Rhinolophus ferrumequinum: one gene and its partners. The protein of the gene in region 1 purifies or fractionates together with the protein of each later gene. This does not show direct contact. Links are inferred from orthologs where the notes say so. Each region holds a gene or a part of one and is shown on either strand. Other genes may lie near its edges.

Region 1 (7,943 bases):
TTATATATAATATATATTATATATTACTATATATTGTTATTGCTTTTATTATTATTGGTTATTATTTATATATTACTTATTATAATACTTTATTGTTATTTATTTTTTATTATCGTAACAGGAGGTTGAAGACTATTTTCAATGAAATAACAAATGAAAATGATCACAAAATGGCAGCAGATCCGCTTGCGTTAATAGAAAGGAGAAGGAACATGATAAAAGTAAAAATAGTACCAGGCACTGTGATAAAGGCCTTATATTAAGTAACTCATTTGACTCTCACAACAACACTTCAGGGAGGTATTCTTTCTGTTTTACAGACAGGAAGCTAAAGGTTAAGCAAGTTCTACAAGATCATACAGCTAATAACTGTCAGTATAATAATTAGCACTTAGGTGACTTAAATCCAGCCTTGTTCTCTTTCAGCTACACTATCTCTGTCCTCCCCATTCCCTCCTCCTTCTCCTCCTGGTTAGCAATGACCTGATATAACACCGGGATACTCTCTTTTTACTTAGTGATTTGAACATTTTCCCCCAACAGATTGTTTTATTTTACCTAAATGCACTCCCTAGCCTGTTTTGCATCTTTCATTTGTTTCTTTATCCACAAAATTAGAGCCTTAAAGGAGAGACTCTGCAAAACCGTTTCCACTACTAACATTATAAAATTACAAAGTAAGTGAAACCAAGTAGAAGCAGCAAGTATGATAACCCCCAACACAAGGCACCTGTTTGATTCAAGAAGGTTTTCTGGCTCTCGATGGGCAGACACCGTCCACTCCCTCTCCTTGTCTTTTTCTTCTCTTTCGGAGCCTCCTTTATCCTCCTCTTTTGTTTTATCAGTTGCTCTTTTCTCCCCAACAGCTTAGTCCTTTTATTTTGTCCTAGGCTTCTTTGGACCCTGAATTTAAGCCCCCATAGCCTCAGCCTCAATAGTCCTCGCCTCCCTGCCCTCCTGCCATCAGATGTCCCTTCAAAGCACCTGGTCAGGACTGGGGCCAGGCTTTGTCCCTCAGAGCAGGTTGAATTGCCCAGGATGCTCCTGAGGTGTTAATGACCCTCACTAACCTCAAAGGTGATCACAACTGAATGAAACACTTGAATTCAAAGAGATAAGGCTAATGGTGGGTATTTTGAAATTATGATTGATCCAGTATGGATTTTTATTTTCTGTGAAAAGGGCCAGTTCTAGACCCCTCTCCAATCATTCAAAGTGGCCAATTTGAGGCCCTTGGAAAACAATGGCTCAAAGTGCGGTTCTCCAACCATTCGGACCCAACCTCATGAGTTGCTTGTTAAAACTGCAGCTTTCTGGGCCCCCCCAGACCTAGTAAATCAGAAATGCTGGCAGCTGGCAGGCAATCTGAATTTAAAATATACACCTTGATGATTCTTAAGCTCACTACATTGTGAGAAACTCTACCTTGTGCTAATTATTTTCTAAAAGTTTCATGCATCATTATCATTATTATTTCCTTAATTGTGTCACAAAGGATTTTATTCATATCTGTCTTCAACGTGCAGAATTAGTACTAGATGTTTGACTGAAGAATTCCGCAACAATTTCAGCAAATATTCTAGTATTTAATATACATAAGCCACAGATCTAGATCTATAGTTTCTTTACCTGAAAGAGGTAAGAAAGAGAAAATTTCCTAACCTTTGTCCTTCTCTTAAATGCTTCCATGTAGGGCTTTATTCATAGTCAACACCAAGGGTAAAACTGAATGAGTGTCTTGCTTTTCTTACATTATGTATTTCCCCATGTTTCAGCTGTTTATAGAGAAACCGCATGTATATACCCCCGCACAAAGTTTAGTAGAGAAAGCACATTTTTGGCTCTTATATTAGGATGCAGTTCCTTGTATATGAACAATATCTATGCGGAATCATGTCTCTCTGTATTATATATACATACATATGCATATGTCTTTATTTATGAATCTACATATGCATTACTCATATCATGATGTTTTTCCTCTTAGGTCACGGGTTCCATACCAATGACAGCAGTTCAATTTTCTTAAATTTTCACTGTTCTGTGGTGACTGTTGGGCAATTCAAAGATCGGGTTAATGGTAGGTCCACGGCCTATCACTTTCTCCTAATGCTCTAATCGATCTTTGGAGCAGGCAGACAAAACCCCAACCCCACCGAGCACTGTCATTACAGGCCCATGCACCTGCTGTGTGAACTGCAGTGGAATGCTGGTTGCAGGTGCACTAACAGCTATCCTCCTCCTGGTGGTCTGTCTGCACTTCCCCCCAATGCAATTCTCAGGCTTGGCAGGAAGGTCACGCAGTCTACTCTATGGAAACGTAGCCCACTGTGGTCAAAATTGTCCACTAAATGTGGTTTCCTCACTTACAAAGGAAACAGGGGGTAGGACTAGCTTGGGACCTCTTGGTCATCCATCCCATCCATCGACAGAAATTCTTTGTTCTCTCTCGCCCACGGCCTACAGAGATTATCAGTCTGGGTCTGAGGGGAGAAGAGCTAGAAACAGAGCACAGTTCCCTAGGTAACGCACCATAAGCCACTGAAGCTGGGCTTGGAGTGGACTCACTCCCACACAGATGGTGGCTGTTGTCCCCAATGACCCTTTCCTTCCGGCCTTTGGGGAAGCTTAACTAAACACGCCCTTAGAGCTTACAAACTCAGAAATTCTAGGTCCCCAAATGACCGTGGTTTTCAAAAACTTTCAGTTAAGTACATTAATATTTGTGTAACACTTTGCAATTTGCAAAGTGCTTTCCACTTACATAATTTTAACTAATGAACTCCTCAAACACTCCAATGTGGTTTTATTTTAAAGGAGGGAATCTAAATTTCCATCAGCTCAACAGGATACAGTGCACGGTGAAGCAGCTTTAAGGGTCTGCAGAATTATCAGTTCAAAGGAAACCTCAATCTCCCTTGATACAACCAGACTCAAGTAGCACTTGATCAGTCATTTTCTTAAGATACTTACTGCTGATCTTGCATATCCTTGTTTACGTGCCTTATCTTACTAGATTTGAAGTTTTGTAAGGTAAGATCTCTATCGGATTTTTATTTGTATCATTCACAGTGACAGGGGACCAGGCAGGCCCCAAATTGGTGTCTGTTGAATGAACGAATGAAAGTGAAGGAATGAATCATAACTATTTCAAGTTAGTTCTGTGGATTTTATTTGGATTATGTGAAGAAAAACTCTCAAGGAAGGAAGCTAAATAGAGACTATAAGAAACATTGTGTATCTTTCAGGACATTGTAACCCCCCTCCCCCAAAGCAATTAGGGACTGTGAAGCTTTCACTTCACAACTAGTAAAAGGCTGGTGAATTCTTTCTGAAAAATTAATTGAAGGCCCCTAGTGGTTTATCTTTACTAACTTATACATTGTTAACTCTCAGATATTAAACCAGCAATAAGCCAGAGCTTGCTTATCAATCACCATTTCCTCTTTGTTTATAGGAACAAGAAACCTAGGTTGCGGTTTTTTCTTTCCCCTCCCAAGTGTGAATTCCTGTACTTAAAGGAATTACACAAACAAGGAAAATACGTAAATAAGAAAAAACGCACACACAGTACAAACTCATTTCTTCTCAGGTATTTTTTGACCAACCCCTCAGACTTGAGACAGGCTCGCTCTGTAATAGGTGTATGTATGTGTGTGTACATACTAGAAAAATAGAAAAGGTCAGCGCAAACCCTATTTTTAGGTATGAATGAATATGAAACAAAATTTCAAGTTTGTCTTAATATTAAAAACGACGCCGAGAAAACTATATAAATATACCCTTGGAACTAGGACCCAAAATCAGCAACACCAGCAAACTGAGACGGGGGTGAGTGGAGGAGCAAATGGCAATTTATCTCTAAAGGAGAAAAAAAGAAAAATCACCCGAACTACCCGCTTTGCCTGGAGTGGGGACGTGACTCACATTTTCGGATAATCTGAATAAAGGGAGTGTGTGTGTGTGCGTGTGTGTGTCTCTGTGTGTGTCTGTGTGTGTGTGTGTGTGTGTGTGCCAGACATCCACCCCTTCTAGCTCCGGACTCCCGGAGCCGCGCGGGCGGGCAGCCCCAGGCCAGCCGAGAGCCCGGCCGGCTGCCGCGGGCAGGGAGGGAGCGCTGGGCGGGCGCTGATTGACGGGGCGCTCGGTCAGGTGACCCGGAGCGCCACGTTCCCGGAGCCCAGCCGGCGGTGGCCTCCTGGGCTGGGCCGGGGCGCACCGGGAGCCGAGAGGGGCTTATCTCCCGGAACAAAGTTGGGGGGCAGGGACGGCGACGGGGGCTGGCGCGGCGCGGGCCGGCGGACCGGACCTGCGCGGCCTCCTCTTCCCCGAGAGAGCGGGCCCCGGGTGCGGGCCGCGAGCCCGTGCCCAGGGGGGCGGCAGCGCGCCTCGGAGCGGTGCTGCGCCCCCCCGCCTCTGCCTCCTGCGCTCGGCTCCAACAAAGGGGCAGGCCCGCGGGGGGCGGGGAGGAGGGGCTGGCCCAGCGAGCGGCGGGCGCACAAAGTTGTGGAGTCGCCGCGCCTCGGAGGCGGGGAGCGGGCGGCCGCAGCCTGCCGCGGGCTTTCTCCCGCCGAGGGGCGAGGAGGAGCCTCCGGCTCCCGAAGCCGATTGGGGAATCACCGGGAGCCGTGCCCCCCTTCTTTTGGGTCATTTCTGCAGACGGAAAACTAGTGTTTGGCAAACTTGGTGCCTGCGCGCCTGTTCCAGGTTTGCACTTGGGACTGTTTTGTTTTTGGCGGAACTACCGGACAGGAGGATTGCACAAGTCAGAGGCATTTTGAATCGGGTGTCAAAAAAAAAAATTTCCTTTTTTCTTTCGGACCTTGTCTAGGTCTCCACATTTCATTTTTAAAGAACGTCGCACCACAGAACTCACGCTCGCACAGCCCCCCCGCGGTAACTACGACCCAAACACACCCAGACCAGCCCTTGGCCGCTGGGGACGCGGCGGCGGCGGCGGCAGGCAGGCGAGGCGGGCCCGCGGGTCACGGGAGCAGGTAAGTCCATGCATTATTGAAGCCCCGGGCTGGGGAATGTGACCACAACCCCGGGGAAACGGGGCGTGGACTGCGGCGAGGATGGACTTCTCTGCGGTCCTGAGCCCAGGATCAAAGTCTCGACCTCCTTCGCAAGAATGTGTCTAAGATGTGATCAACTTTTGCGGGCACTTTCCTCAGAACCTGAGTTCAGCTCCCCCAGGCGCGCGAGAGAATGCCAGCAACGAGGAAAGAGGAGGGGTTTCTAGGAATCCGTGTAGTTGCGAAGGCTCCAAACTCCTCTGACTGGTTGGGGGCCACCCTATGGCTTCCCCCGATCTTCCTCCCCGCCGGGGTGTGAGAGTCGCGCATCTGTGCCTCGCGCAGTGAGGGGCGCTGGGCCAGTGATCTCCAAGGGGGGACGTGGCTTCCCAGGAGGGCCTGTCACACACGCCCCAGCTTCGGAAGGCGGGACTAGAGGTGTCCGCTAAGAGAGGGTGGGGTAAGGGTGGCCGTGGTGGACGGGCAGGGGAGCAGTTCCCAGCCGTCCTCCTGGCAGGAAACGTGTTCGACCTCCGGGCCATTGCAGCTCGGGAGGGTGGGGCTCCGGTAAGGGGACGCGGGAGCCTAGTCCGTGCGTGGTCCAGTGCAGCCGCTTCTTCTGGTTTTCCGGACGCTTGGCATCTCTTACTGCAACTGGTAAGGTAATTCATGCCCACCTTTGGCCCCAGGTCCGAGGCTCTGCTTGCCCAAGGCCACTTACAAAACCAACAAAGCACGAATTTTAGGTTGTGCAACTTTTAGAAGGCTGCTGTTAAAAGAGACGTTCCCCCAAGCTCCGGAAAGGGAGTTGTTCTAGGGAAGGAGAAAACGTGCCCGACCTTTCAGAGCCAGGGGACCTGCAATTTGTTTTACACTGAACTGGAGAACTCTGGGTCTAACCTGGGTCTAACGGCTCCGCTTTCTGGCATGTCCCGGGGTGAGCTTCCTCTTTCCCAGCCTCCAGGTCACCTGGGTCACCAGGGCTTCGCGGGTCAGTTCCCCGTGTCGCGCTTGGGAGAGTCCGTGCACCGGTTGCCGCGACCGGAGCGCACAGAGTTCGCGGGGAGCCCGGACTTCCCAGGTCCGGGTAGGAGGTCGCGGGTTCTGGGACCTGCGGCAGGACTCGCATCCATTGCTTTGGAACTTACACAGGCCTCAGGAAGTCGGGTTGGCCCCTCCAGGCTGGTTGCTGGTGGGCGTGAGGGACGCAGCCCCGCGGATAGCGCTGCGGGCCAGGCGAGAGCCAGAGGAATGCGTAGCTCCTGGGTGCTTCAGCCTCCAGGGTAACAGGCGGCGAGGGCCGAGGTTTACGCGGAGTCATTCCCTAACCCCTCGACCTGCACTTATGGGACGAGACCCATGCACTTATGGGATGAGACCGCTCTTTAATTCTCCTTTGGGTATTTACATACAATTTATTGCCCCTGTAAACAGTATTAATCACTGTAGTATTCACCTTCCCTGGGAGCTCGTCAGAGTGAATGGCAGCTCTTGGCACTGGGTGTCTTTTACTGTGTTTCCAGCAGAGCAGCAAACTCTTGCCCCTTTGGCTTCCCTTTCCACTACGTATCTCTAGCTAGGTTTTGCCCAAGGACCAGCATTGCATTTGCATCGTAATTGTATATTGTTGAACATATTTGTGTGGCATTGTATAATTCCTATATTATTTTAAAGGCAAAAACTTGAGCTTTCCTTTTAAGGCCATCCTCTCGCGTCCAATTTGGTTTATTGCCACACACTCATGGCTTCAGGTCCTCATGACAGCCAGAAATGTTCTGAAGAAAATGTTGGTGAACGTAGAGTTGAATGTATTGGTTTCTGTGAGAAAGATCTGGCTAAACTTTGGCACAGAACCCTAGAGTAGTGGTAACAGTAAGTTACAATTGTAAAGGGCTTAAAGCTTCGAAAGCAACGTCCCATTCATTTATTCTGTTTCTTACCTGGCTGTGTGTGGAAGATGGCCTTCCCTGCGTTTCATAGATGTGAAAGTGTAGGGACACCCCAGTATGTTGTTAGTGACTAAACTTTGATTCTTTCTCCTGACAGCCCTTTATAAATCGCTGCTGCATTTAGCGATTTAGAAGGAGGTGTAATATGTTTTTTGTCATATGTTACTCAACCTGGAGTCCCCAGCCATTCATGCAACAAGTGGCAGTCTGTGGCTATCACGGTTTAAATGGTCTTCTCCCTCCTTCCCATTCTGTTCTTGTCCTCTGACGTCCCTTTCTGCTGCATTATTGTAGTATAAGGGATTTTGATTATCAAGAAGAGAAAATTTGAGAAGTTATCTTAAGGAGAGCGGCAAAATAAAATATAATGAAGAAATATTAATGTGCAAATGGAATAAATTCCTGTGTAAACAGTTTAGTTTTTTTATGGAGTGGGAAAAATCTTCACTTTGAAGTGAAGACTTTTGGCTAAGACCAGTTATGAAGGAGAGCATTAGAAGTATCTGTCAAAGAGAATAGTTGTGTGCCAGTAAAGAGAATTTTGCTGGGTAAACCTGATTTTCCATATTAAAATGTTACATGCATTCTTCTGAACAAAGTTGTTTGGTTTTTGAATATAATAAAATGCAATTAAGAATTCAGTAAATATTTTACAAGTATGTACCCCAAAAAGGGAACTTAATCACATAATAATCCCTAAAGTCTTAACAGTAATAGAGCAATATAAAACATGAAAAAGTTTTTTATAGTCATAAAATTTGGCAGACAGATAATCTAATCCATATATTCCTCCCTACTGTAGAGGAAATTATTCCTGAAGTTTTATAAATCTGCCACAGTTTTCATCTGCCTCAAACTCTTTAACACTTAAAATCTTTTTCTGAGGTAATTTTGACCTTTTTTAATTAGAACACACCCTTTTTATGACGATCAGGAAAATAATATAATAATAATTATGTATTACGTATATTTGTAT
Region 2 (7,588 bases), on another chromosome or scaffold:
AAAATCAGAGTTGAAGCTGACTATAAGATTGCAAGTCTTACGAGGTACTGGAAATTGTTAGAACTGATATTGGGGGTGAGGAAGTTTTTATTTTGGGATCTCATTTGAATTTCATGGCAAATTATGTAATTTCCATGATTGTCAATAAAAAACACTGGTAATTTTCCATAACTAAGTGGATTCCATGAAACTAACCTTCTGCTTAGTGTGTCCTTGCTAATATTTTCCTAAAAAGAAAGTCACAGAGCTACAAAACTGTCACCAGCTGCTTCTCATTAGTAATGTGGTTAGCAGATGTGGGTTTTTATAGTCATAAAGCATGAGATAGTTAATCCATTTTTGTGGGTTTCAAATGGATAGTGATTTATCTTGGCGGGATGAATTTTAAAATGTGCTTGCATCAGCTAAAGGATATATGCATCTTTCCCTCTTTTCGCTTCATATTTGTGCTGGAGAAAAACATTTTAGGATATTTCTGGAAGGCAGAGGAGTACTGCCTGTTGAAAAGGACAATTGATCTCACTGTCTTCTAACTGGGGAAGAGTTATGCATGCATAATTTTTCAAAGTTGGATGTTGAATTTGTTATCTTACAAACTTCTCTCTTCGGCCTCTTCTTTGGTAGTAATTGAGTGGCTCTTGCTTTTGTTTCTCTGGCATTAGGCCACCTTTGTGGTAGTGACCTTCAGGCTTGCTAAGGGCTGCAATTTTGCCTGGGGCCCTCCTTCCTTATGAAATTACACAACACTCAGACCTTGGACCAAGCCCCAGATCTACTAATTCTTTCCTTTGACAGACTCTTGGCAATATGTACTCCCTTTCAGCCAAAGTGTAGTTTTATGCAAGATCTGTTTGTCACTGAAATTAATTTGGCCATTTGCCCTTTAAGCCTGGAATCAAATGGTATCATGGTAGACCCATTCCTAGATAAAGTATAGACTCTCAGTTTCTACCAAAGGTTTTACTATTGATGCTGAAGCTGAAGATCAACAGGTAATAATAACAGCAGCAGCTACGTTTTTATAGGCAGTGCTGCTACGTGCTTTGCACGTCATCCCAGTCAGCCACCTTTAGAGGTAGAACATACCTGAATATTTTTCCAAAGGAGAAACTAAGGCCGATGTCCTCAGCCCCTTGACCATTGTCATATCCTAGTAAGTGGCCAAACTGCAATTTGAACCTTGTGCTCTTAGTTGCCATGCTAAATTATGCATCGACTATGAGAGAAAAGGACAAAAAACATTGGGTTTTGAGAGGGCTTAGAATCAGAGCCTGAGTCGTAGAATTGTAGGAAATTATGGAACTGAAGCTAGCTAATCTAACCCCCTCATTTTAAAGCAACAAAGATCCCTGCCTTGTTCTGAGAAAAAGTAAGATAACAGTTTGAACAGAGGAGAACCCATATTGATAGATGGCAGGATTGGAAGGTTATTGGGAATTATCTCAACCATTTCCTTTTTAGAGGTAGATAAAATAACAGTCCTGTTCAAAAATTTTCTAAGCTTTTCTCACCGTCCTTAAAGAGGCCATGTGTACTCTTTATTTCAGATTTCATTATCCACCATAAATAGATTTCCACTGACTACTTGAGATTTCCTTGATGGTAATTTTCACTCTGCAAGGAACCAGTAACCTTCAGAGGGATTATTTGAAATGACTACTGCGCAGGAGGCACTGAATTTCAATCAATCACATGTTTTATGAGTTCCTTTTCTACAAGGCAATATTTTTGGAATAATGGGGAATAAATAGAAGTCGGTGGGTGGTCCTGCCCTTTTGTATTTTAACATCTGTTTGGACAAACCAGCCAGGCATAAAATTGTTCAAAGCAAAAACCCCAACAGATTGGGTAGATAAGGAAAACTGGGATGAGATCTTACTAGGTGGGAAGGTGGCTGAAAGGGGCAGAAGGTGTTTGGAAGGATGGACTCAGGTGGGAATTTGCAAGGCATCATTGGGAGACACTGGATGAGTCTGGCTGATCTAAAAGTAGTGATGAAAGAGATTGTTGAAAATTAATTTAGGTTCTGATGGAGAACCTTGTAAAAACATCTTGATAGTTTGGGAATTTTTTATGGATATATTTAAAAATAAGTGAAAACCTCCAAGTAATCCAAATACCAATCTTCATTACCTTCTCTCTTTCCAGGGTTAAATATTTTGTTACATAACTATTGTCTTATATAAGTGCCTTCATTTATTATTTGGTTAGAAGATCTACGATTTCCTCCAACTCTATTGACCTAAAGGTCTTGATACTTTTGGAAAGAATTTCCAGCATTTCCCTTTTGCTAATAAAGGTATCCTCAAGTGCCCAACCTCTGGGTGGTTACATATATAAAAGTGTTCAAAATAGTGCTCAGACCCCAAGGACTCAGCTGCCAAGTGGTCTGTAAAAAGCAGAAATGTCACATAACTCAGGCCTCGGGGGGCTCACACCTCAGCTGGAGCAAAGCCAGAAATGTCTATGACTATAGGGTCACTTTGGCACATCAGGACCTGCCAGAACAGCAAGCTGGCCTCACTGCAGTCGATTTAGGAGAGGGCTGGAGGACTGAGCTTCTGCTGATGTTTGCAGTTTGGAAAATCCTGCTCCACTAATTGCAAAGAGGATTCTGCTGTAATGATATTTTCGGTGAGATACTTTTCACATTTTGAATTTTCTTCATTTGGGCTCTGGGTGCTTTCCAGTCTCTCTTTATTGTTTTAACTCCTGGTATCGGAAGTTTTGCCCATACACGGATATGCATTTACAGAGTGGTGCATGGACATGGCTTACGAGCTTCAACATGTACTTCATGAGCAAGCAAGTATACAGCCCCTTTTACAGGAATTGGTGTACACTCCCTCTGCTTGCAGCCCTCCTTCTTTTCCCCCCATAAAAACATGGGGATTTCGCTTTTACTGCTGAAGGAAAGTTAGAGGGCACCTTGATCTCACGTTTTTTGCTGAGATCTTTGAGCAATGTGATTTCTGGACGCTCATTTTTGAGATCTGAGTTATGTTAAAAAAAAAAAAAAAAAAGCACTGGACCAGGAAGCTAGGAGACCTGACTGAGTTTGCTTCCTCATTGTGGACTTGAAGCCAGAGTCTCTGGCTCCCTGGGCCTGTTTCCTCAGTTCTTCCAGCCCATGAAGCTGGGGGAAAAACCTGCTGCAGGCTCTGCAGGTTGCATAGTTTCTGGAGCCACCCATTTGCCCCAACAAAAGGCCACGGCTTCCAGGATAAGAAAAGTCAGATCTGCAAACCCAAGCCCAAACTCTTTGATATTTAATTATATGAGGCTTTTCACACTCATCCTGCTGACTCCACTGATCCTATGCTCTGTTCACATGGGAATCTTGGCATCTTCCTAGGTAACCACCATTCTGCAAATATATTTGAGGCCTACCTATTGTAGTTGCAGGGCTGAAGAAGACACGGTCCCCTCTCTACCTATTACAGGCAAGTAACAGGTGATAACAAAGCAGATTCTTGTCTCTGGACCTTTGCTTATGCCGTTTCCTCTGCTCCCCTATTCACCTTCCATTGTCACCTCTGTGAAGCTGACCCCAGACCTAACTGAAGGTTTCTTCTACTTTGCTCTCAGGGCGTTTTCTATATGTCATCTAACCACATAGTATCACACCAGGTTGGTTGGGTCTTCGCTTTCCTCCCACACTAGACCGCTAACTCTCATTTGTGGTACATGTTACTCAGCTCATTTCTAAGCCTCAAAAGGAACACAGCGGTGGAGCCCTCAGTAAATCCGGAATGAACCAATCAATGCAAGAATGAACGTGCAACCCAGTCTTGCAGGCTTGCAAAGTGCTTCTCGAAGTTGATCTTGCTTTCCGTGCCCAAGGCAGCTCAAGTCAATCGCACGGTACAGGTCAAGAGTTGGGGGGGTGGGGCGTCGGAGGTGAACAGGAGAACGTGAGATGTAGCCCGCCGCCTCCTGTAGCCCACGTCCAGTGAGCCGCAACCGACCGGACTGTGCGAGCAACTCCTTAACCTCCCGGAAGTGGCTCCTTTCCCCGCCCCTCCAGGGATGGGCGTGGTCTCTCATGAATAATGAATCTACAGGGGAGGGGCCGGACCCGCCCCCTCGGGCGGGAAGGGGGAAGCGTTGAGGCTGCCTGACTGGAATGAGGGTAGCTGCGGCGACTGCGGCGGCGGGAGCGGGGCCGGCCATGGCGGTGTGGACGCGGGCCACCAAAGCGGGGCTGGTGGAGCTGCTCCTGAGGGAGCGCTGGGTCCGGGTGGTGGCCGAACTGAGCGGGGAGAGCCTGAGCCTGACGGGCGACGCCGCGGCGGCTGAGGCCGAGCCCGCTTTGGGGCCGGCGGCGGCCGCCTTCAACGGCCTCCCGAACGGCGGCGGCGCCGGCGACTCGCTGCCGGGGAGCCCAAGCCGCGGCCTGGGCCCCCCAAGTCCGCCCGCGCCGCCGCGGGGCCCGGCGAGCGAGGCGGGAGCGTCGCCTCCCGTGCGCCGGGTGCGGGTGGTGAAGCAGGAGGCGGGCGGCCTGGGCATCAGCATCAAGGGTGGCCGCGAGAACCGGATGCCGATCCTCATCTCCAAGATCTTCCCGGGGCTGGCGGCGGACCAGAGCCGGGCACTGCGGCTGGGCGACGCCATCCTGTCGGTCAACGGCACGGACCTGCGCCAGGCCACCCACGACCAGGCCGTGCAGGCGCTGAAGCGTGCGGGCAAGGAGGTGCTGCTGGAGGGTGAGCGGGGCCGGCGGGCGGGCGGGCCGGCGTTCACTTTGTTTCTGCCACCCTGCCCCCTTTGCGGGGCGAGCCCGTTCCCTCCCCCTCCAAGGCCTCGTCTTTCCCTCCTCTGGTGCCCCGGCTCTCCCCAGACCCGGATTGCTGTGGCTTTGAGCATGGAAAAACTGATACTCCTTGCAGGAAAAGTTGGGCAACCGCCGAAGTGTGGGTGGCAGTCCCTAAAGAAGAGTTGGTTGAGATTTAGTAAAAAGCAGCAGCGCTTGAAGCCCCGCCTCTGCACAATAAGCTGATACTAAGAACTAGAGGACTCGAGTTCTGGAGGTCTCCTTTTGCCTCCTTAAAGAAGTGCCGGGTTGGCGCTTTCTTCACTCACCTCTGGCTCCCTTGGGAGGGCGGGTCTGTTAAAAATTCATCCACACCGATGCCAGCGGTATGCTTGGGCAAACCACCAAAACGCTGGTTAATTTATGGGAATTTAACCCATCATTGGCTCTCAACAATAACCAAAGAAAATCTTAGCACTTCCTTGAAGCCAGAAAGCTGAAACAGCAAGTTTGTGTGGTTAATGAGCCTAGTTTAACAGTGGAGGCTCACGTGTTTGAATATTTACTGCCAACTAGAGTTTTGCCCCTTTTGCAAGAGACTGATGCCAGCTTCCTACCATTCGCAGGAGTGCTGCTGCAAGGCTTTAAGCCTTTAGAAACCTGAAGTGTTAAATCGCAAGATATGTTCGAATAACCAGGATCATTATTTACTTAAGCATATATGTGGTCTGTAACCAGGATCTTTTATGGTGAATTTATGGAACTAAGGCTAAATTAAATCTCATCCCCGTGAAGGACTCATGCATTTTGGAGGTGAATTGTATTGTAAAGTGTTGTATTGTAATTGTATTGTATTGAAAGGTATTGTAAATGTGATCTGAAAAGCCCGTTGCTTACTTGAGAAGTTTTTGAGCCATTTGCTTTCTTTCATTGGTGATTCAGTCATTCAAGAAGCATTATTGCTGGCCATATAGAAGAGAATATAAAAGATGATATGTCTGTATTTGGTCTCTAGTTGAGAAAATGATAGAAAGATGTAAAACTTACAAGTTATTGATTAGGTTGTTCAACATATATATAAATGCCAAGGGAATGCAAAGTTAGAAAGTAGTGGAAGTCAGGATTAGTCAGAGAGGACTTTGGAGGAGCTTAATCTTGAGCCAGTTCTCCAAGGAAGTGATGGACATAGGCAGAGATGAGTCAGGAGGGTATTCCTGGCAGAGGAAGAACTGAGGAGGGGTGGGGAGTAGGGGTAGGAAGTGAGCAGTCCTCATACTGAGAGGCCAGAAGTCTAGCTTGGCAAAGTGATTTTCACTTTTTTCAAAATCGCAGTTATAATATTTGGCAAAATATTAATTTGCAAGTAAATGATTTAATGTGATCCAGTTTTGAAATTCCAGTGTCCCACCTTTATAATATCCTATTTATAAACCTTATTTATATCTCACTTATAGATAGGGCTAGACACTGCTCGGAAATCAGTATTAATAAAAGGAGTAAAATTACAGATTGTGGCTCAGGTGGTGTATATGTAAGAAAATGGTTACCTTAAACGTGTACCTTGAAATGGGCTTAGCTAAGCATTTGCTTATAAATTCTTAGAGCCAGAATATTGAATATAGCACTATTTATGTAGTACTTAGTGGTGATGGGTAGACATTTTAACTCTTTACACCATATTTTTAAAACACCCAGTTTTTGTTTAAATATAATTTGAACCTGGTATTCATACCAATTAAATGAAAATCATCCAGTAAATGTTTCCCGGTGTTCATTAGTCTAAAATGGGCCACGTATGCTTTTAGAAGAAGGGTTTACAAACGGCCGCAAAACATTTACTGAATACCTTTTTTCCTAGCACACAGGTTCTACTTTATTTTCCCATTTTGGAAAAAACAAGCAGTTTTTGTCGTTATATGTGGAGGAAAGTATGAAATTGCGCTTTCAAGCCAACGGATATAAAAATAAAATTACTTAGAATAAGCAAAAATCACCGAAAACAGTGATTTAATTGAACCAGTCAAACTATTTAAAATTGAGAGCTGTTGTCCTAACCAGGTAGGCCACTTTTGGAAGATGGATTTTATGCTTAGCTCTTAAAGTTTTGGATCTGTGTTCTCCTTTCATTAGATGTCTCAAAATTTGAAAAACTGCCTTAACGTAGCACGGTGATGCTCTTTTGTGGTGTGGGCAGGGAATGTCAAGCATGCCCTTGCCACCCCCAAGCAAAGGAAAGCTGTAGTCTCTGTTGGCCTGTGGTTAGGGAACTGAGCTAAAGGGTTCTTTTTATCTCATGGATTTATAGGGATTATTTATTCATACATCTAACATTTATCCAACTCTACAATGTACCAGAGACATTCGAAGATACCTACCTCCTGCTCTCAGAGAGTTTGGAGTTGAGATAGGAAATAAGTACAGCAAAGGGCTAAAGCAAAGGACTGTTGTAATAGAACTCTGGAAAGGACACAGCACAAGGGAAGGAGAGATCTATAGGTGACCCTATTAGGGATCAGAGGTTGAGGATGCCCAGGAAAAGGTTGAGGGAGAAATTGAAGCTTGAATGGAGCCTTCCCTTTAGAAGAGAAAGCTGCTACCAGTAAAGACACACAAGGGAGGGACATTAAGATGGTATTTCTGCCCCGTAAGGGTAGAGTACAAATGAGGTCTTCGTGGTCAGAGAGACCTGGGTTTGTTTCTGGCTAGTGGTTTGTAACTCCTAGGCAAGTTACTCAACCTTGTTAAATAAATCTTAGTTTCCTCCTCTGTAAAACCAGGATGGTAATAATGCCTCCCTCAGAGGTTGTTATTGACTTGACAGTTTATGTGCTGGGC
Region 3 (8,198 bases), on another chromosome or scaffold:
TGTGCTCCAAGTGGAGAGGTGCGGCATTGGGCAGGAAAGACCAGACTAAATGAGTCCTGATATTTATTCCCTACCTACCGATTAAGGAATGAATGAATGAATGAATGAATGAATGAATGAATGAATACACACGGGGTTCATTTAGTCATCAAGCATTTATTGAGCACCTACAATTTGCCAAGCACTGTATTGATACTTAAGAGCCAAAGATAGCTAAGCATATTCCCTCACCTTGAAGAAAGACAGATGTGCACACAATTAATTATAAAACAATAGATAAATTCTCTAATAGCAGGATCAAATGGACCATAGGAACTCAGGGCAGGTATTAAATCTGACTAGCAGTTTAGAGGTGGCTCCATATAGGAAATATCATCTGATCTGGGCTTTGAAGGATGTACAGGAATTTCACGGAGAAGAAGGAATACATGTTCCAGGCAGAGGAGGAAATGCGTGAAAATGCCTTGTTTAGGGGCCTGCACTCCCTCATCCCCATTCCTGTTTATTACCTTACAGGAGTCTTGGCCCTCCTGTGGTTCCATTAAGAAAATAACAAACACTGAGCTTCATGGAGAAAGCTAGCTAGGAGTCCTTCACAAAGGACTGTGGGAACCAAAAATTGGTAATGTGTGATAAGGGACAATTTCCCTCTAAATATAGAATTACTAGCCTGAAATTAGCTGCCAACCAGCCGTCTTTGAGTTCTTCTGACTATTCCAACTCTACCATTTGGGTTTAATTCCTGTTCACATACAGGCCAATGATAGTTTAACATTTCTCCCTTTATACCACTATCTAACTCTTCAGAAATGTATTTTTAAAATTATGGTACAAGAAATTTTACAGGAAAACAAAAGGAATTTGATAAATGTCTCTTGTATGTATCACTTCAACTTTCCTGGCTTTTGTCCGAAAACTTATCAAAGTGTAAAACTAACTCACAAAGTTAGAAAACTAACTTATCAAAGTTGGTCTCCTACCCTCCCACAGAGACGGGGAACCAGGGATCCTTCAGGTGTTTGCTGGAGCAAACAGTAGATTCCTTGGGCAGCCTTGAGCTTTCTCAGGCAGGGGCTTTATAGGGTCATCCCAAGGAGGTGGCCTTGAGCCCTTAGAAACTATGTCAGTGTTTGTTCAAGTCTTGCTAGGCCAGGATTGAGGCCTAGTTGAGGAAGGGCTCAGAGGAGCCGGACTAGAGTTTGGTGAAGGAGACGATTATTGTTACCCTCCAGATGCGTTTCCTGGTCCCTCGTGACTTTCCAGGCCCACGTCCCAGTCCTTCGAGAGCCTCGAGTCTGTCTGTTGCTCTTGGGAGCCCTCAGATACCTCTGTATTCTCATAATAAAATTTCCTGTATTTAAGCTAATTGGCTGGAATTCTGTTCTCAAAAGGAAGCCATCACTAAGACAAATCACTTTACCTGTATGAACACAACCCACATACTTGTCATTTTTGGTGCTTAAATGGCCATTCTTTCATGGTAATGTATCATAGCCTGTTTCACAATGACTTGGGTCATTTCCAGAGTTTTATGCTTATTGATAGTGACTTTTTTCCTCCTTATATAAGGTCAAAAGCTGTGCTGAGTTCAGAGCCCTTGTTACATTGCTGCCAGCTTCCACTCCAGCTTAAGTGCCGCCAGCCACACTTCAGGGCATCGATTTTCCCATAGCCCCATCTAAAGAGTTCCATTTTTATTTATTTTGGTTTGTGTAAGGATACCTGGGAGTTTCCTTGGTATTTTTCAATTGCGAATACAATTTTACGAGGTTAAATTAGATAACATAGACCCTAGCAAAGAGCCTGGCATATAGTAAGCTATTATTATGATTAACAGTGATTGAGTCAAAAATTGAATGTTGACCTTACATGTTGGTGTGTTTGTGTTTTTTCTTATGTATTTGTTGGGGGTTATTTCTCTTTTTATCCACTGGGTCTCTCCTTCTCAGCCTATGTGTTGCCTCAGGGCTGAGGCCTCAAGTCTCTTTTCTCTACTCGCTCTGTAAGTGATTTCATTTAGTCTCGAGTCTTTATAACTATCTGTATGCTGGCAACTCATATTCAGAGCTCCAGCGTGGACCTCTCTCCTGTACTCCAAACATATCTAGCTGCCTATTCAACTTCTCCGCTTGGATGTGGCACCTCGAACTTAACTTAAACTTAGCTTAAAGCTGAACTCCTGCTCCTGCCGAAAGCTGTTCCTTCCATTGCCTTTCCCATCTCAGAAAATGGCAACACCACCCTTCCATGTACTCAAGCTAAAAATGTTTGAGTCTTCCCTGACTCATCTTTTTCTTTCATACTCTACAGCCAGTCTCCAAGTCCTCTGGGCACTATCTTCAAAATACACCCCGAATCCAGCAAGTTCTCCCCACCTCCACAGTCACCACTCTGGCCACGACACCCTCATCTCTCACCTGCAAAATCTTCTAACCGGTCTTCCTACCATGTTTCCCTGGTGATAAGACCTACCGCGAAAATAAGCCCCAGTTAAGATCGTCAGCCAGATGGACACATTTAGTACGTTATGACAATGTTCCAGAAGAAGATGACGTGATTGTATTTGAATAAATGTAGATTGTTATACATGAAAAAATAAGACATCCCCTGAAAATACATCCTAATGTGTCTTTTGGAGCAAAGATTAATATAAGACCCGGTCTTATTTTCGGGGAAATACGTTACTTGTATGCTTGTCCATCCTCAACATTTCACCTTTGACCTTGGCCTTCCTCCTGGTCATGCGAAGCTTGCTATAGTCCCAACTTCATGGTGAGCTATAACAATGTGCAGAGGAAAAGAGGAATCCTCCAATAAGAGTGAGAAGACCATTTGCAGAAAGCTCTCCAGCAGAGTTCCTCTCACTTGCCCATCTCTAAACCAGTCACTGGTGAAAACAATAGGATTACTGGAGAAGACTAATCAGGCTTCTCCCTGAGTTGGAAATAGGGTTATCTTCTCTGACAACTGAGCCTCTGTTTGTTGAGGAAGAAATGGGGGAACACCCAAACAGAGTCTGCCATGATGTGGTAGGTCAGAGAGTCCATAAGAGTCCAATTACTTTTCTTAACTTGGTGTCAGTGGCCCTGTAGCCACAGGCCTTGGCCATATACAAAGACGAGGTCTACCTGACCAAAGAAGGGATAGGGTTGTGGCACGTAGCTTGGGTGTCTTTCTGCCAACCAGGAGATTCCCACCTTTCTTTCTTGGGACCTCTGTTGTGTCTGCTTGCTTGCAGGCCGTGAAGGAATTCACGAGTCAGGTAGAAATATAGAAGGAAGATTTATTAAAGTAAGAGAAAAGTCGACTGGGCAGAGTCTGCTGGAAACTACTGCAAACTACTGCATCGAGTCTTTGATCTCAAGTTTTATATTTTCTAACCAGGATGTAAATTGCTTTGGCCTATACTGGAATTTTCTGTTGATGTCTGCTTTGTCCATTGGGGTGGGAGAAGATTCAGTTAAGCTGATTATTGCAACCTTTGCATAAGTTATGTAGATTTAAATTGGAGCCAGGAGAGGGGATCCCATACAGATGCAAAACCTCTCCCAAGTCACTGGGCCAGCACTGGGCTGAATAGAAACATTGACACTGCATAGTAAATGTACAGGAAGCAGGAATCATTAAGAGGCAAAGAAAAGAAAGCTTTCAGAAAGTCCTAAGCTACATTACAGTTGTTAAATCAAATTATACCAGAGATCCAAATCTCAAAATAGAAGATTTAGTGCCACCATTACAATCCCCTGTCTTAACAGTCCCTTTATTTCAGCTTAATGGAAGAAGGTATTTACTTATTGTATTAGTATCCTAGGGGTACTGTAACAAATTACAACAAACTAGGGGCTTGAAACAACAGATATTTATTCTCTCACAGTTCTAGAAGCTAGAAGTCTAGAAATCAAGGTGTTGGCAGAGCCATACTCTCCCAAGGCTATAGGTGAAAATATGTTCCATGCCTTTCTCTTAGCTTCTGTCTCACCAATGCTTGGCCTTCCTTGGCTTAGAAGAGTGTCACTCCAGTCTCAACTCCATTGTCACATGGTCTCCTCCCTGTTTGTCTCTGTTTTCTCTTCTTCTAAGGACATAGCCATATTGAATTAAGGACCTATCCTACTCCAGTATGACCTCATCTTAACTAATTACATCTACAACTTCCCTATTTCCAAATAAGGTCACATTCTTAGGTCTGGAGGTTAGGACTTCAAAATATCTTTTTGGAGGACACAATTCAACCTGTAACACTTATATTTAATTAAAATTTAAATTCTCTTTAGTTCTTTTCCAATCTGCAAGTCTTATCTTTCATTTTCTTGCCTATTTTTCTGACCTATAAGCAACTATAAGTTGCCCTCTATGCACTGCATTAGCTGCATCCCATAAATTTTGGTATGTTGTGCTAAATTTTCTTTAAAAATTATTTTATGTTAAGGCTTGACTTGAATTTGCTATGTAGGTATTAGTTACTGAAGTTTTGAAGATAAAAAGAATGTATAAAATAGGTTCCTCACCTTTAATGAGTAAGGGTAATTTACTGAAAAATTTAATAAACTAGCAGCCATGAATTAAGGATGATGGTATTTTTAAAGAGAGTGTACGCTGTGTATTAACTTCCTTTCTTTTCTGTTAGTTGTTCATGCCTAGGTTGTGTCTTACCATGGTGCTAACAGGGCAAAGCTTGATTCCATTGCATATCTCCTGTCAGTTACTAAATCACAGATGCTGTGTGTAGGAGGAAGAAGCCTTAACAGACTTTATAATCTTAAGACTACATGTGAAATTTTCATTTCAGTGTATCCCTGTTTCAAGTTTTATCTGTGAGCCAGCAACTTTTTGTTTAGTTAATCGCCTCCATTTTACGGAACCATTTTTTTTTTTTCTGGCAAAAATTGTGTTTATTAACTGCCAGCGACTGAGACAGAGCATCACAATAGGGGATTGTGCCACGGAGCAGCTGCCGAACAAGGAGCAGGACGAGGGGTACATGTCCATTACACGCTGAATGCAGGTTGGATATGTTCAAAGTTGTACCGTCTCTGAGTGTCTGTCTTTGTGTTTATGTTTGTTTTTGCGGGATGTGGGTGTGTGTGTGTGTGTATGTGAATGAGAGAGAAGGAGAGAGACAGAGAGAGAGAGACAGAGAGACAGAGAGAGAGAGAGAAGTGCGCTCGTAAGTGCAGAGAAAAAAATGTCTGGAATCAGTCTCCCACAACTGCCCTGTGGAGTCACACGGGGGAGATGGAAAGTAGTGCTCTTCTGTGCAGAGACACCTGAACATACCTGGTTCCTGAGGTAAGTGCCTGGACACATAGGCAGAAATAGACCTTAGGGATATGTGTTAGTCATCCATGAAACACGAACACCTGACGGAATGTTAGACGCACTGTAAGAAGCATCGTGCTTAGCGTTTCACGGTGGTGAACTTTTCTTTCACTTGCTTGAGGCCTGATGGCCAGAGGTTCACAGCTTTGCATATGTTCATGAAAGGCCACCAGATTCTTCTTCATGTGATGGGCTCGTGTCACATCCGGATTTAGTCATCTTCCTTGGGGTCACTAACCTCTTCACAAACAACTCGGTTCTTTCTTTCCCGCAGCCTGTGGGCCCAGACACTAGACTTCACTTTGCTGGGTCCTGACATCTTCTCAGTCTCCTGACCAGAGGAACTCACTTCTCCTGGGTACACAGCTTTTTCGGAGCCGGCTCCGAGGCAGGCGTTACTGGTAGTGGCATCATATCATTTTCTTCCCTTGCCGGCTCCATGGGCTTCTCCTTCTCATCTTCTATCCATTGCACATCGGAAGCCTCTTGCGGATTTTCATCCTGATTCCTGGGGCTCTGATCTTCGTCAGAATCACTCTCAAGAGCATTTGTAGACTGATTTGGAGAATGCATGAAGTATGGGCAGTTGGTATTGAGACCTAGAAGAGTCATGTAGTCGTAGTTTCTCTTCATGTACACATAGGTTCTTTTCTGTAAGTCTCCCAGCTTTGCCCATTCTTTCTTAGAAAAGTTTTTGGAAATATCATCAAAGGCCTCATATTTCTCCTGTGATTTCTGGGCATCCTCTCTGTGGCTCTTTGCCAAGGAGCTGCCTCTGTCCATGGCGCTGGGAATGGTGCGATGGCCAAGGGACACAGCGCGAGTCTCTCCAGAACCAAGGCCAAAGATCCTCAGAAGTGAGGTGTCAGTGAGGGGTCGATCCCCGCAGAGATGAATAACCGCAATTCAGTTACCCAGGGACCTTCGACCACTCGGAATAGTTAGTGAAGTGGATTTGGCCCACTGCAAGTCAGGATAATACTGGGGAAGTTGAGGCAGGAGTGGGGTCCTTACGGAACCATTTTTAAGACCGATGGGTGGAATTCATTCAATGATGGAGTATTTATATTCTTAGGATTCCTAGAGGCTGGAGGAGATATAGGCTGAAAGGGAAGCATTACAATGAGACTACATCTTTGTCAGACAGTTTCCCTCTGACAAAGATGCTTGTCTCACCTCCACGCAACTCTCTTCCCCAGAGCATCCAACATCACTGTGGTATTAAGCCTCTTCCAGTATGCAGGCATTCCCCTGCGTATGTCTTGTTGGCTTTCTCTGTCCAACAGAGTCCTCCAAATCTCTTATGAGTCTCAAGAACCGGTATTTTCTCCTACTGCCCTCTTTCCCCAAGGAAAGATGATTCTGTTGTTTCACTGAGTTCACTGTAGGAAAACTTGACATTAAGGAGAATATTTTTTTTTCAGACTGTGTTTCCTTGCATAACAACACCACTTGTTTATGTAATTCTACCCAGAAGTGGCCGGCCCCTGGCATTTCTCTCCTGGGGTGTTTATAGGCTGTTATCACAGCTCCCGTCACCTTACAGGCTGTGAAAGGAAATTGGCACTTTCAGCCTTACTTCTCCCTCCATCCACATACAGGCAGAGGCTGAAAATCTATCGCTCTGGAATGAAGTATGGGATGAGGCATGAAGCCACTCACAGTATAACTGAACCAGAAATGGTCCCAATAAAAAGCCAGATTTTTAGCCCTTCACACCACTTAGCCCAGAGTGCATCTTCTCTTGCTGTCAGTAGAGCATCTCCCAACCTGCTGCTTAAGCAGCTGCTCAGGGGCTGCTCATCTTCACTGGCCTCTGTGTCAGGCCATTAACAAGCTGTTTAAACAATAACAGAACAGGCTGCGCTTGGAGCTGCCAGCCAGCCGGTCTATCGGGGACTTCACTGGGAATGTTTTTTGACCTTTCAAGGTTAGTGAATACTCAGCAGTTATATACAGTTCTGTTACTGAAGGTTGCAGTCCTGAGTATTGCTTATTATCTTATAATTCAGAGAAGAAAAGGGACAGTAGAAGAGTAGTTTTTAATAACTGTCACACTATAACACATTTTTAAAAATTTCAAAGAAACAAAGGTGGTCACCACTCTTACAAGTTTCATTTTTTGGCATATTGTTTAGTTTTTCATATTTGTATAGCCATAATGATGTCGATATTTTCTACACTTAATAATGCATATTATTTAATATTCTTTTATTAATATTTCCCTAAGTTTCTATACAATCTTTATGATAATTTTAATGACTGCCTAATTCATTGCATTGACGAGTATCACAGATGCCATACCATTTCCTTGCCTGTTGCATATTTAGATTTTTACAGGAGAAGTCATTTAGTTGAAGAAGGTGCCAGAGAATGTAGTGTTCCTTAAGGAGGCGGTAAGGGGGCCCACAGAAGGGTCCCACTGCTATGTGAGGGCAATGAGTACCTTTGGGATGGGTTTGTAACAGGATGCCAAAAGCAAACTACTCACCTATTTGATTCGAGACTAATCCTGGTACTAAGTACTTCAACTCATGCTTTATCTTTAAAAAAAAAAAAAAAAAGAAAGAAAAACTTATGTAAAGAAAAAGGTGCTGAGGCATGTACTATTTTTAGTCCTGCATGAATCAGATGGTGGCCTCTCAGGGTCCCAGAGCCAGAGCCCACTGGTCCACACAGGGTAAAACTTCTGTTGGGTCTCAGGACCAGCTAGGCTGCAGCTGGCATTTTGGCTTGGGATCACGTCGCGTGAGTAGTGTTCAGACTTACTGCTCCCCCAGCCCTTTATTCCATAGCTCCAGCCACTTGGCCCAATCCAAGCACCTGGGATCATCCTGCCACTGCTCAGGGGAGCGTTAACTGGCCTTAGGACTAGGAAT
Region 4 (8,238 bases), on another chromosome or scaffold:
GGAGTGGATATAGCAGAAAGCCTTAAAGGAAGACTGGGAGGCTGGGTAGAGTAGGCTAATAACAGCAGCCCACACTGAGCGCTGGCCATCCATCAGACTCGAAGTATGTTTCATATATTAACTCATTATAGCCTTGCAAATTATCCCCATTTGACAGTTGGGAAAATTAAGGTGGACAGAGGTTCAGAGGCTCGCCTAAGATCACGGAGCTAGTAAGAGGCAGCCTGGCTGGAGGCCCGTGGATAACGTTTGGTAGCCCCTTGTCACTGCCCGACTTCCCGCCTCTCACGGGTTCATTCCCCTATGCCCACTCCCCTAGCAGAGTGCCGAGCGTCTCTATTCTTTGCTTTCCTTGTCAGTAGACCGGGGGTAATAACTGCCTCCTGCTCACTGTAACTGATGATGTCTACACAGCTCGCAACTGCACGTGTGTTAGCAAAACCAGGAAGGGGAATGAGACCGGCAGTTCCTGTCCTTGTGGTGGTTGGGGAGGGAACACCGATAACAAACGTATTCTAGTCTATCAGTTCTAAGATGCACGTTTTTTCGCACTCTAGCATCTCTGGAACGTTCTAAATTCAAGACGGTATATGGCGATGGTGACAAAGCGCATGATGGAAATTCAGAGATGCCAAAAAAAAAAATAAGGCAAAGCTCCTCGAGACGGGAAGGTCTCTGACAAGTGAGAGGGCAGGAGTGGGTCTTGGCCCTCCTTGATCAGAGGCCAATTCTGGACCATTCACCCACCCCCTGGAGTGGCCTGTCCAGCATGAGCATTACTCCAACTCCACTGGTTGGGAGGGGAAAGATTGAGAAGAGTTTCGATGTTTCAGAGGGGAGAGAATAAGGATGTCTTTCTCTCCAGCATCCCTGCCTCCCTTTGCTTCTTTCCTCCCTTCCTGCCCACAAGGGTGGGTGGGGGGGGGGGGTGGGGTAGATTGCTACCCTCAGGCCCCTTCGCTGTGCTGGAGCTGGGAATCCCATAGCTCTGCCTTCCACGGTTCCAGTGGGCATCACAGCTGCCCTGGACCACTGGTCATGTTGGTTCCTTTCTACCTGGTCTGGAGCTGCGGTAGATGCCTTTATTTTTGTCTCTGTTTTGTTTTCAGTTGTTCAGGTTGGAAAGCTTGGAATTATCTTTAACTCCTCTCTCTCACAGCCCTCCAAACTAATCCATCAAAAAATCCTGTTGGCTCTACCTTCTGCATATAACTCAAATCCGACCCCTTCCCCTGCTGCTGCCCTCTCCAAGCCACTGTCATCTCACACTTGAATTATCGGAAAAGCCTCCTTCCTGGATTCCAGGCTTCTGCTCCTTCACTCTATTCTCAGCCCAGCAGCCAGTCAGATCACGTCACTGCAGAGACTCCCTATCTGACTCTCAGGGAATGCCACAGCAGTGGCCCTCCAGGCCTGGCCCCATATCACCTTTCTGCCCTCTACGCCTACTACTCTCCCCCTCGCTCACTCTGCTCCAGTCTCATTGGCCGCCTGATTCTTTAATGAGCCAGGCCCGCTCCTGCCTCAGGGCCCTTGCACTGGCTATACCCTCTTCCTGGAATGCTCTTCCTCCATATCTGCAGGGCTCACTCCCTCACCTCTTTCAAGTTTTTGCTCACATGTCACCTTCTCAGGGAGGCCTATATTGACCACCTTAATACTGCAATTTCTTTTCCACCCCTACACCCCAACAATTCTGATCCCCCTTATAGCTGCCTCTATATTTTTCCCATGGCATTTAATACTTACTATTTTGTTTGTTGTCTGTTTTTCCCACTTGAGATGTAAATTCTCCGAGGGTGGAGATCTTTGTCTATTTTGTTCACTGATATACCTAAAGAGCCTAGAACAGGGCCTTGCACATAGTAGGTGCTCAACAGAGATTTGTGGATGAATGAATTTGTAAATTAGAAAGGGGTAAATGTGTGGCAACATATAATTAATCTTTGAAGAGAACTAGGAGGTTTCAGGAATTTGAGAAGGTGATACTCGAACTGGATCTTTAAGTACACCTGGAAGCCTAGGTAGGTGGCTGGCTAATTGATCAACCTGAACAAAAAGCATGGAGGTGGCAGAGCTTGGTGGCAGGGCAGGAGCTGGGGGGAGGTGTCAACCAGTGATACCTAGCTGGAGAGGATATTAGCAAGATAAGTAGAGGCCAGATATGCAAAGCTTTGGATGCAGGCTAAAGGCTTTCCTACCTCCAGGAGCAGCTACAAAATTTGTGGGACCCAGTGCACGATGAAGATGCAGGACCCTTTTGGTAAAAATTTCAAGAGAGTGACAGCAGAGCATTAAATCAAGCGCAAGGCCCTTCTAAAAGTAGGCTCATGAAGCCAATCCTGCCTCTCCTACAAGGGAGCCTGTGAGAGCCTTCAAGAAAGACAGAGATGTAATTGGAGCTGGACTTTAGGAAGATTATTCTGGTGGGGTAGGTTGGAGGGAGTCTAGGCTGAGAGACCAGTTAGGCAGCCTTGTGTGGAGGGAGAGAGGAAGAGGAGGAGACAGGTGGGGTGGGGGTGGGGCTAAGAGGCAGAAGGCTGGGGTGAGAATGTGAATGAGTAGAAGCAGGGAGGTGGTAGAGTTTCTTTAGGCAGGAGCATGGGTCGGAGAAGACCCGAGTGCACCTTCCTTTGCTACTCCAACCCCTTCCTCTTTTCCCTTCTTTCCAGACCTAAGCCTTAGGAGTGAGATCCGCCACGAATCGGCAATGTGTCTCTCTTTGGCCACCAGAGGGCAGATCATTCTCATGGATTTTCAGGATTAATTTGGGGTGGGGGGTGTGGAATGGCCTCTGTCCTCACGTCTTCCTCCCTATCTCCCTAACCTCCTTCAGCGATTCTTCACCAAGTTCTTCCTCAATGGCTGAGTGCCTGAATGGAGCTGGTGCAGGGCATGGGGAGGTGTTCTGGAGTCCAGTGTATTTACTACAACTGTAGAGAGTACCTGTTGCCTTAGGAAGTACTTTCATACCACCCTCTCATTGCATCTGTCCGGCTCTGTATTTCTCTGGTTCACTTGGCCACGGGCTCTCTGCTCAAGATGCTATCGCTGGGAGTTAGAAGTCAAGTGTCAGAAGTCCAACCAGCACTTTTCCCCTCAATCCCTGGGGCCTCTCTGCTCCTGTACCTTTGGGGACTTGGTTGAACCGGGTCTCTGGCTCCTGTGGGAACCCTGGCTTCTGCCCACCTTAAGCTGTACTTGAGCCCTGGGGCAGGGGCAGGAAGGCAAGTTCCAACATGTCTGGAGTAAGATGGATGGGACAGCTTGGAGCCAGAGGAATCAGATCAGCCTACTGCTTTTCCCTGCTGAGACAATTTAGGGGGAAGTGAAGATTGGACCCAGGTTGCCAAATGGACTGTTGGATCAGAGGCTCTCCAAGGATGAGAGGGAACTCAGAGCGGACGAGTCCAAAGACCTCAGTTTATTGCTAGGGGAACTGAGTCCCGGGGAAGGAAAGGAACTTCTCCAGGTGCCCATTCTTTGTGCCACCCTGAGGAATTCTCATTGGCAACCAATGTCTGTTTTCCACGAGTTTCTTTGTCTTAGAAGGGATAACTCAAATGTGAATTAAGATGAGAACGTCTTTCCTGCCTTAGTTTGCAAGAATATTTTAAAAAGTACCTGGGAGGACTCAATATTACCGTGGTGTGATGTTGTTTTGTGCTATTTTGAACAATTAAGACTTTTTTTGGGGAAAAAAGGCAACTAGAATTAAAAGCTGTTATTTAGAATCTCATCACTGGAACAAAGGCATTGACTCGTTCAATACAGGGACATCTCGGAGCCTAAGCTCATGTGATGACGTTATGTGATTTTTCCAAGATCACACAGCATTTTCGTTCCACACACCGGGACCAGAATGCAGGGCTCAGGAGACCTTTGCAGTTGGGAACCACGGGCGCAGCCCTGGTGCTTGCCTGGGAGCTTGACAAGAAGCCAAGACAGACGGTGGCAAGTGATGAATAGTAGATGGACAGGTAATAGAGTAATGCTACATTTGACAGATGACACATTTTGATAGACAGTTTGGATGATAAACGAGATGGACTTTATGAGCTGACCGACAACGAACAGACACGCAGGTGGGAAGTTGGTTTAGAACCAAAGGATGCCAATGGCAGGGACGGCTAACGGCCTTATTTTCTATTTAGTTAAAGAATAACACGCTACCTGTTCAAGGTTTGAAAATATCCGAAATCTGACGGAAAGAAACGAAGTCAGACTCGGTACCACCCGAGGGAATGACCCGGGACTCGCCCGGCCTCGGGTGTTGCCGGAAATGGCCGACGATTGCCGTCGGCTGCGGGACTGGGCGGGGCGGGGGCGTGGCCGGCTCCCCGCACGCGGAGCGGCTTCGGGTGTTTCCGGAAACTGCCGAGAACCAGCTTGAAGTGGGCGGGGAAAGGCCTGTGGGCGGGGCTGGAGTACCCGTAGTCGCTTCGTGTATTTCCGAAAACAGAGCCGAAGCTTGGTCTTCACAATCGAGGAGGCGCGCGCATCCCTGGAGGTTACCTTCTTCGGGTGTTTCTGGAATTCAACCCATAGTCGGTGGCCAGGAGGAGGAGGCGCGGCCCCCTCCCGTTCCTGGCCGCTTCGGATATTTCCGGCTGCTGCCGGCGGAAAGAGCCGAGGGCCGGCGGTGGTGGCGGCCATGTTGGGAGCAGCAGGTCCGGCGGCGGCTGCCTGTGTGCCGGGCGCGGAGCAGTGCCGCTGAGGGCAGGGGAGGAGCGAGGCAGGCGGCCGGCTGCGGCGGCAGAGAGTAGGCGGAGCGGCGCGGCCCGGCCGAAAGGCGGCACAGCCCAGCCGGGGGTCGGGGGGGTGCGGTCCGGAGCCGCTCGGAGCCGGCGCGGCCTAGCCCGAGCGGCGCATCCCCGGGCTGGCGTGAGCGGCTGCCCGGCCTCCCCGCACCCCCGGCCGGGGCCCATGCGGCGGGTGCCCCTGCTGTGAGAAACCCCGCCCGGCCGGGCTCCGCGCCTTCCCTTCCCTCCCTTCCTCCAAGCTTCTCGGTTCCCTCCCCTGAGATACCGGCGCCATGTCCAGCGCCCGGACCCCCCTACCCACGCTGAACGAGAGGGACACGGAGCAGGTAAGGAGCCCCGATGGCTCCCCGAATTCTCTGGCTGGGCCCCTGCACCTTGCAGAGCCTCCTCCCTCTCTGCTCTCCTCGTGCCCCTGCTGCTATCCTGCAAGCCTCGGCTTCCCTGTCATCGGGCTCTCGGCTCCGCACATCCTCCTCCGAGTCCTGTCCTAGGACCCACCTCGTCCTGACTCCACGCTGCACACTTGTCTTTCTGCTGGCCCCCCCTTCTCCCTTTACCGCCCTCCCGCGCTCTTCCGTGTTACCTCCCCAGCTTCCCCTTCTCTTCCCTTTTTCTCTCGGGCCTTTCTGGTCTTCCTCCACCCACGCTTCAAGCAGCCACCCTCCTCCTCAAATAGTACCCAGCGATTTGCCCCAGATGGTTGTCCACGTCTTCTTACATCTCTTTACCCTTTTCTCCTCCGCCCGCACCGGTTCTCCCAGTCCCTGGTCATCACCCTCAGGGTCCTTGCCCCGGACTGTGTTCTCGGTCTCTGTTCCCTTCCAGTTCCCCAGCTTTTTTTACCCTGCTTGTTCCTTCTCCAAATTGTGTTCTCCCTCTTGCTTGCAACCCACCAGCTCCACCCTCATCACCTTTCCAAATCGTTCGCCTACTCTTTGCTCATCACTTTCCCTTCTTTTCAACAGGAGCTCCCTGGTGCCTCGCGCTGGCATTTGTTGCTTCCGTGTTTCCCATACAGCTGTCATGCGCATAGTTTTCCCACAGGTTGTCTTTGGGGTTCCAGCCTTCACTCCCTTCAGTCTTTGCATCCTTCATGTTCTCTTCCCCTGGCTTTGTCTTTTAAGTCTCTTGGCCTTCTGTTTGTCACTGTGAGTGCTTTGCCAGCCTTCTCCCTGGGCTTTTCCTACTAAGGGAAACACACTACTATTTCTTCCCACTCCATTATCACAACCTGTTGCTGGGTCCTTTCCCAGGTCTCGCTACATCACCCTCCTTGCCTGTCTTCTTACACTGCAACGCAAACCATGATGCCTGCTTGTCTGTCCACTCCTGGGTCTGTCACTTTTCATAGTATCTTCCTCCTTGCTTGTTCCCTTCTGATTTCTCTACCCCATCTTCCTTACTGTGCCTCTTAATCAGGATTGCCTCTCAGCTCCATATTAGTCTCCCGTCTTCTTCACGTCGTATTTATTTTCCCCCATATGCCCCTATCCATTCCCTTCCTATTGACTAGTCTTTGTAACTTCCCATCCAGGCATTTTGCATGCGAGCTTCTCAGTCCCCCTCATCTTAACAAATCACTGCTATGGTTTGGCACCCAAGCCTAAGCCTTTTTTATGTCATCTCACCTCTGAACTGAGAGACGTCCACCTTCCACCCCTCCCCTTTCTTTCACCATCTCCAGTGTCCCTTGCTGACTGCTTTGTGGAGTGTTCCCTGCCTGTCACACCCTCCTTGGTGGAGAACTTTACTAGGCCAAAAAAACTTAACTTGAGAAAGGAGCCCTTCTCCCCTGGGGCTGCAGTGCTTTTTTGCATCCTTTTACCTCATTATATCCTTTATGTTTTCCTCTTGTTCCTTTTGTATCTTTGTAGCCCAATGGAACTGTTGCTATATTCGCTTGCATGTTAACATCCTTCTCTGAAAAATCTTCCCTCTTTCCATCATTCCTAAGTTTTCCTTTTTTATTACTCCCCCCTGCCCCCCTTGCTTTCTGTCACCTGGGCAGTCAGGAACTCAGGAGGAGTTCTGGACTGAGTGTTTCTGTGCAGTGGTTGACCCTTTCGTTACTGATGGGTTGATTGCTTCTGGAAGTGAAGCCGGGGTTGAGAGGGAGGGAGGGATGATTTCCATTGTGTCCCCGGGTTTGGGTGCTGGTTCTGCATGGGCTGGGACTGAGGGCTTCACAAACGGGAGCGCCTCGCTCTCCAGCTGTTTCTCTCCTGACTGAGAACCACTTTCTCTAGGCCCTCTTGAGGTTGCCTGTTCCATTTCTTTTCCTATCACAACCTTTGTTTTAGCAGGTAAACCCTGCTTAACCAGAGAACTTTTCCCAGACTGCTGATTATGAGCTGGTAGGAGGAGGCCAAGGGACTGACTGGCTGGCACCTTGCTGCATTTGGGGAGTGGCAGTGGATGCCTGCTCCCCGCGAGGCTGTGGGGGGCATTGTGTTGAGCAGAGTAGAGTAACAGACCGCCTCAATGTGGTTCCTTTGTGCTGTCTGCTAAATGTAAATGTATTCTTGCCATGGTCTTTTCTAGTGATGTGCGTGTTGATTTCTTCTCTCCCTACATGCCTAGCATACTGCTGAGCATGGTGGGAACTCGGCACACACCCACTGGTTTTATGATGGCCGGAATCAGTGAACCATTTGGGAGTGGAAGCTGTTCTTTGATAACTTTGTCCGGAGCCGTGGCTGCATGCAGTGCCATCCCGTTCCAAATTATGAATTATCCCATTTCTGCTCTTGATGAACTTAAGTTCTCCTGAACCACTTCCTAGCTTCTGCTCTTCTCATGGTAGCCAGTCTCACTATTGACTTGATATTAAGTCTCATCCTAGTAAAAGCGTGGACTTTGGGAAACCTCGGATACACCTATTACAGTCAGGTGCCTGTATGTTTAAAAACAAGAAGAAAGACAAGTAGCATCTCCTTGGGTCCCAAGACCAGGGATGCCGGAAGCATCACTTCCTTTAGAATTGATCATGCCCTCAGATGAGAGAGCAAAAACAGCTCTTCTGTTGGGATTCTAACTAAGTAGTCCTGGAAGCTCAGTCATTGCAGCAAGCCTTTATGCTATGAAACAAAAAGCAGAAAAGCAAGGGATTTGGTTGGGCTGATTCCTGCCCCCCCAGAGGTCCTCTATCACCTTATTTAGATTTAAATTATTTAAATTGGTGTCACTGGAAAATAGATAAACAAACCCCACTGGTTGTCTTCAAGCTCCAGTCTCCTTTTGCTCTTCCTCTCCTCCAGTCTTTAAAACATGTGGCTGATGAGAAGCTGTTTCCAGGAGCTCTTTGATCACATCTGAACTAAACACACACAAACATACAAAGAAAATGTTGAAGCATAAAAGTAAACCTTGTGTTGTTGCAGGGGGGTTGCCTGTTTGCTATGGACTCTGCTTCTGACAGTGAAAGTAGGAGATAAAAGAAAGTCAGCTCTGTCTTTAAGATGATTTTTGTGACACC

The links.
Region 2: the proteins of UTRN (region 1) and SNTB2 purify together in Homo sapiens (affinity purification with mass spectrometry; 4 studies listed by BioGRID and IntAct, with this or other methods). This does not show direct contact. The link is inferred for Rhinolophus ferrumequinum from reciprocal best matches to the Homo sapiens genes UTRN and SNTB2.
Region 3: the proteins of UTRN (region 1) and DTNB purify together in Homo sapiens (affinity purification with mass spectrometry; 3 studies listed by BioGRID and IntAct, with this or other methods). This does not show direct contact. The link is inferred for Rhinolophus ferrumequinum from reciprocal best matches to the Homo sapiens genes UTRN and DTNB.
Region 4: the proteins of UTRN (region 1) and MARK2 purify together in Homo sapiens (affinity purification with mass spectrometry; 4 studies listed by BioGRID and IntAct, with this or other methods). This does not show direct contact. The link is inferred for Rhinolophus ferrumequinum from reciprocal best matches to the Homo sapiens genes UTRN and MARK2.

Annotation. Positions count from the first base shown.
Region 1 is NC_046286.1:88,838,424-88,846,366, forward strand, and holds the start of UTRN (utrophin), read left to right. Parts: upstream 1-4,593; 5' UTR 4,594-4,707; intron 4,708-4,721; exon of another isoform or gene 4,722-4,831; 5' UTR 4,832-4,997; intron 4,998-5,522; exon of another isoform or gene 5,523-5,675; intron 5,676-7,943.
Region 2 is NC_046298.1:18,363,919-18,371,506, forward strand, and holds the start of SNTB2 (beta-2-syntrophin), read left to right. Parts: upstream 1-4,105; 5' UTR 4,106-4,126; coding exon 4,127-4,706; intron 4,707-7,588. UniProt on the Homo sapiens protein: Adapter protein that binds to and probably organizes the subcellular localization of a variety of membrane proteins. May link various receptors to the actin cytoskeleton and the dystrophin glycoprotein complex.
Region 3 is NC_046296.1:54,567,147-54,575,344, forward strand, and holds the start of DTNB (dystrobrevin beta), read left to right. Parts: upstream 1-4,986; 5' UTR 4,987-5,005; intron 5,006-5,530; coding exon of another isoform or gene 5,531-5,717; intron 5,718-5,809; coding exon of another isoform or gene 5,810-6,102; intron 6,103-8,198. Other genes in the region: protein SSXA1-like, read right to left, coding at 5,531-5,717, 5,810-6,102.
Region 4 is NC_046294.1:7,483,657-7,491,894, reverse strand, and holds the start of MARK2 (serine/threonine-protein kinase MARK2), read left to right. Parts: upstream 1-4,956; 5' UTR 4,957-5,035; coding exon 5,036-5,089; intron 5,090-8,238. UniProt on the Homo sapiens protein: Serine/threonine-protein kinase. Involved in cell polarity and microtubule dynamics regulation. Phosphorylates CRTC2/TORC2, DCX, HDAC7, KIF13B, MAP2, MAP4 and RAB11FIP2. Phosphorylates the microtubule-associated protein MAPT/TAU.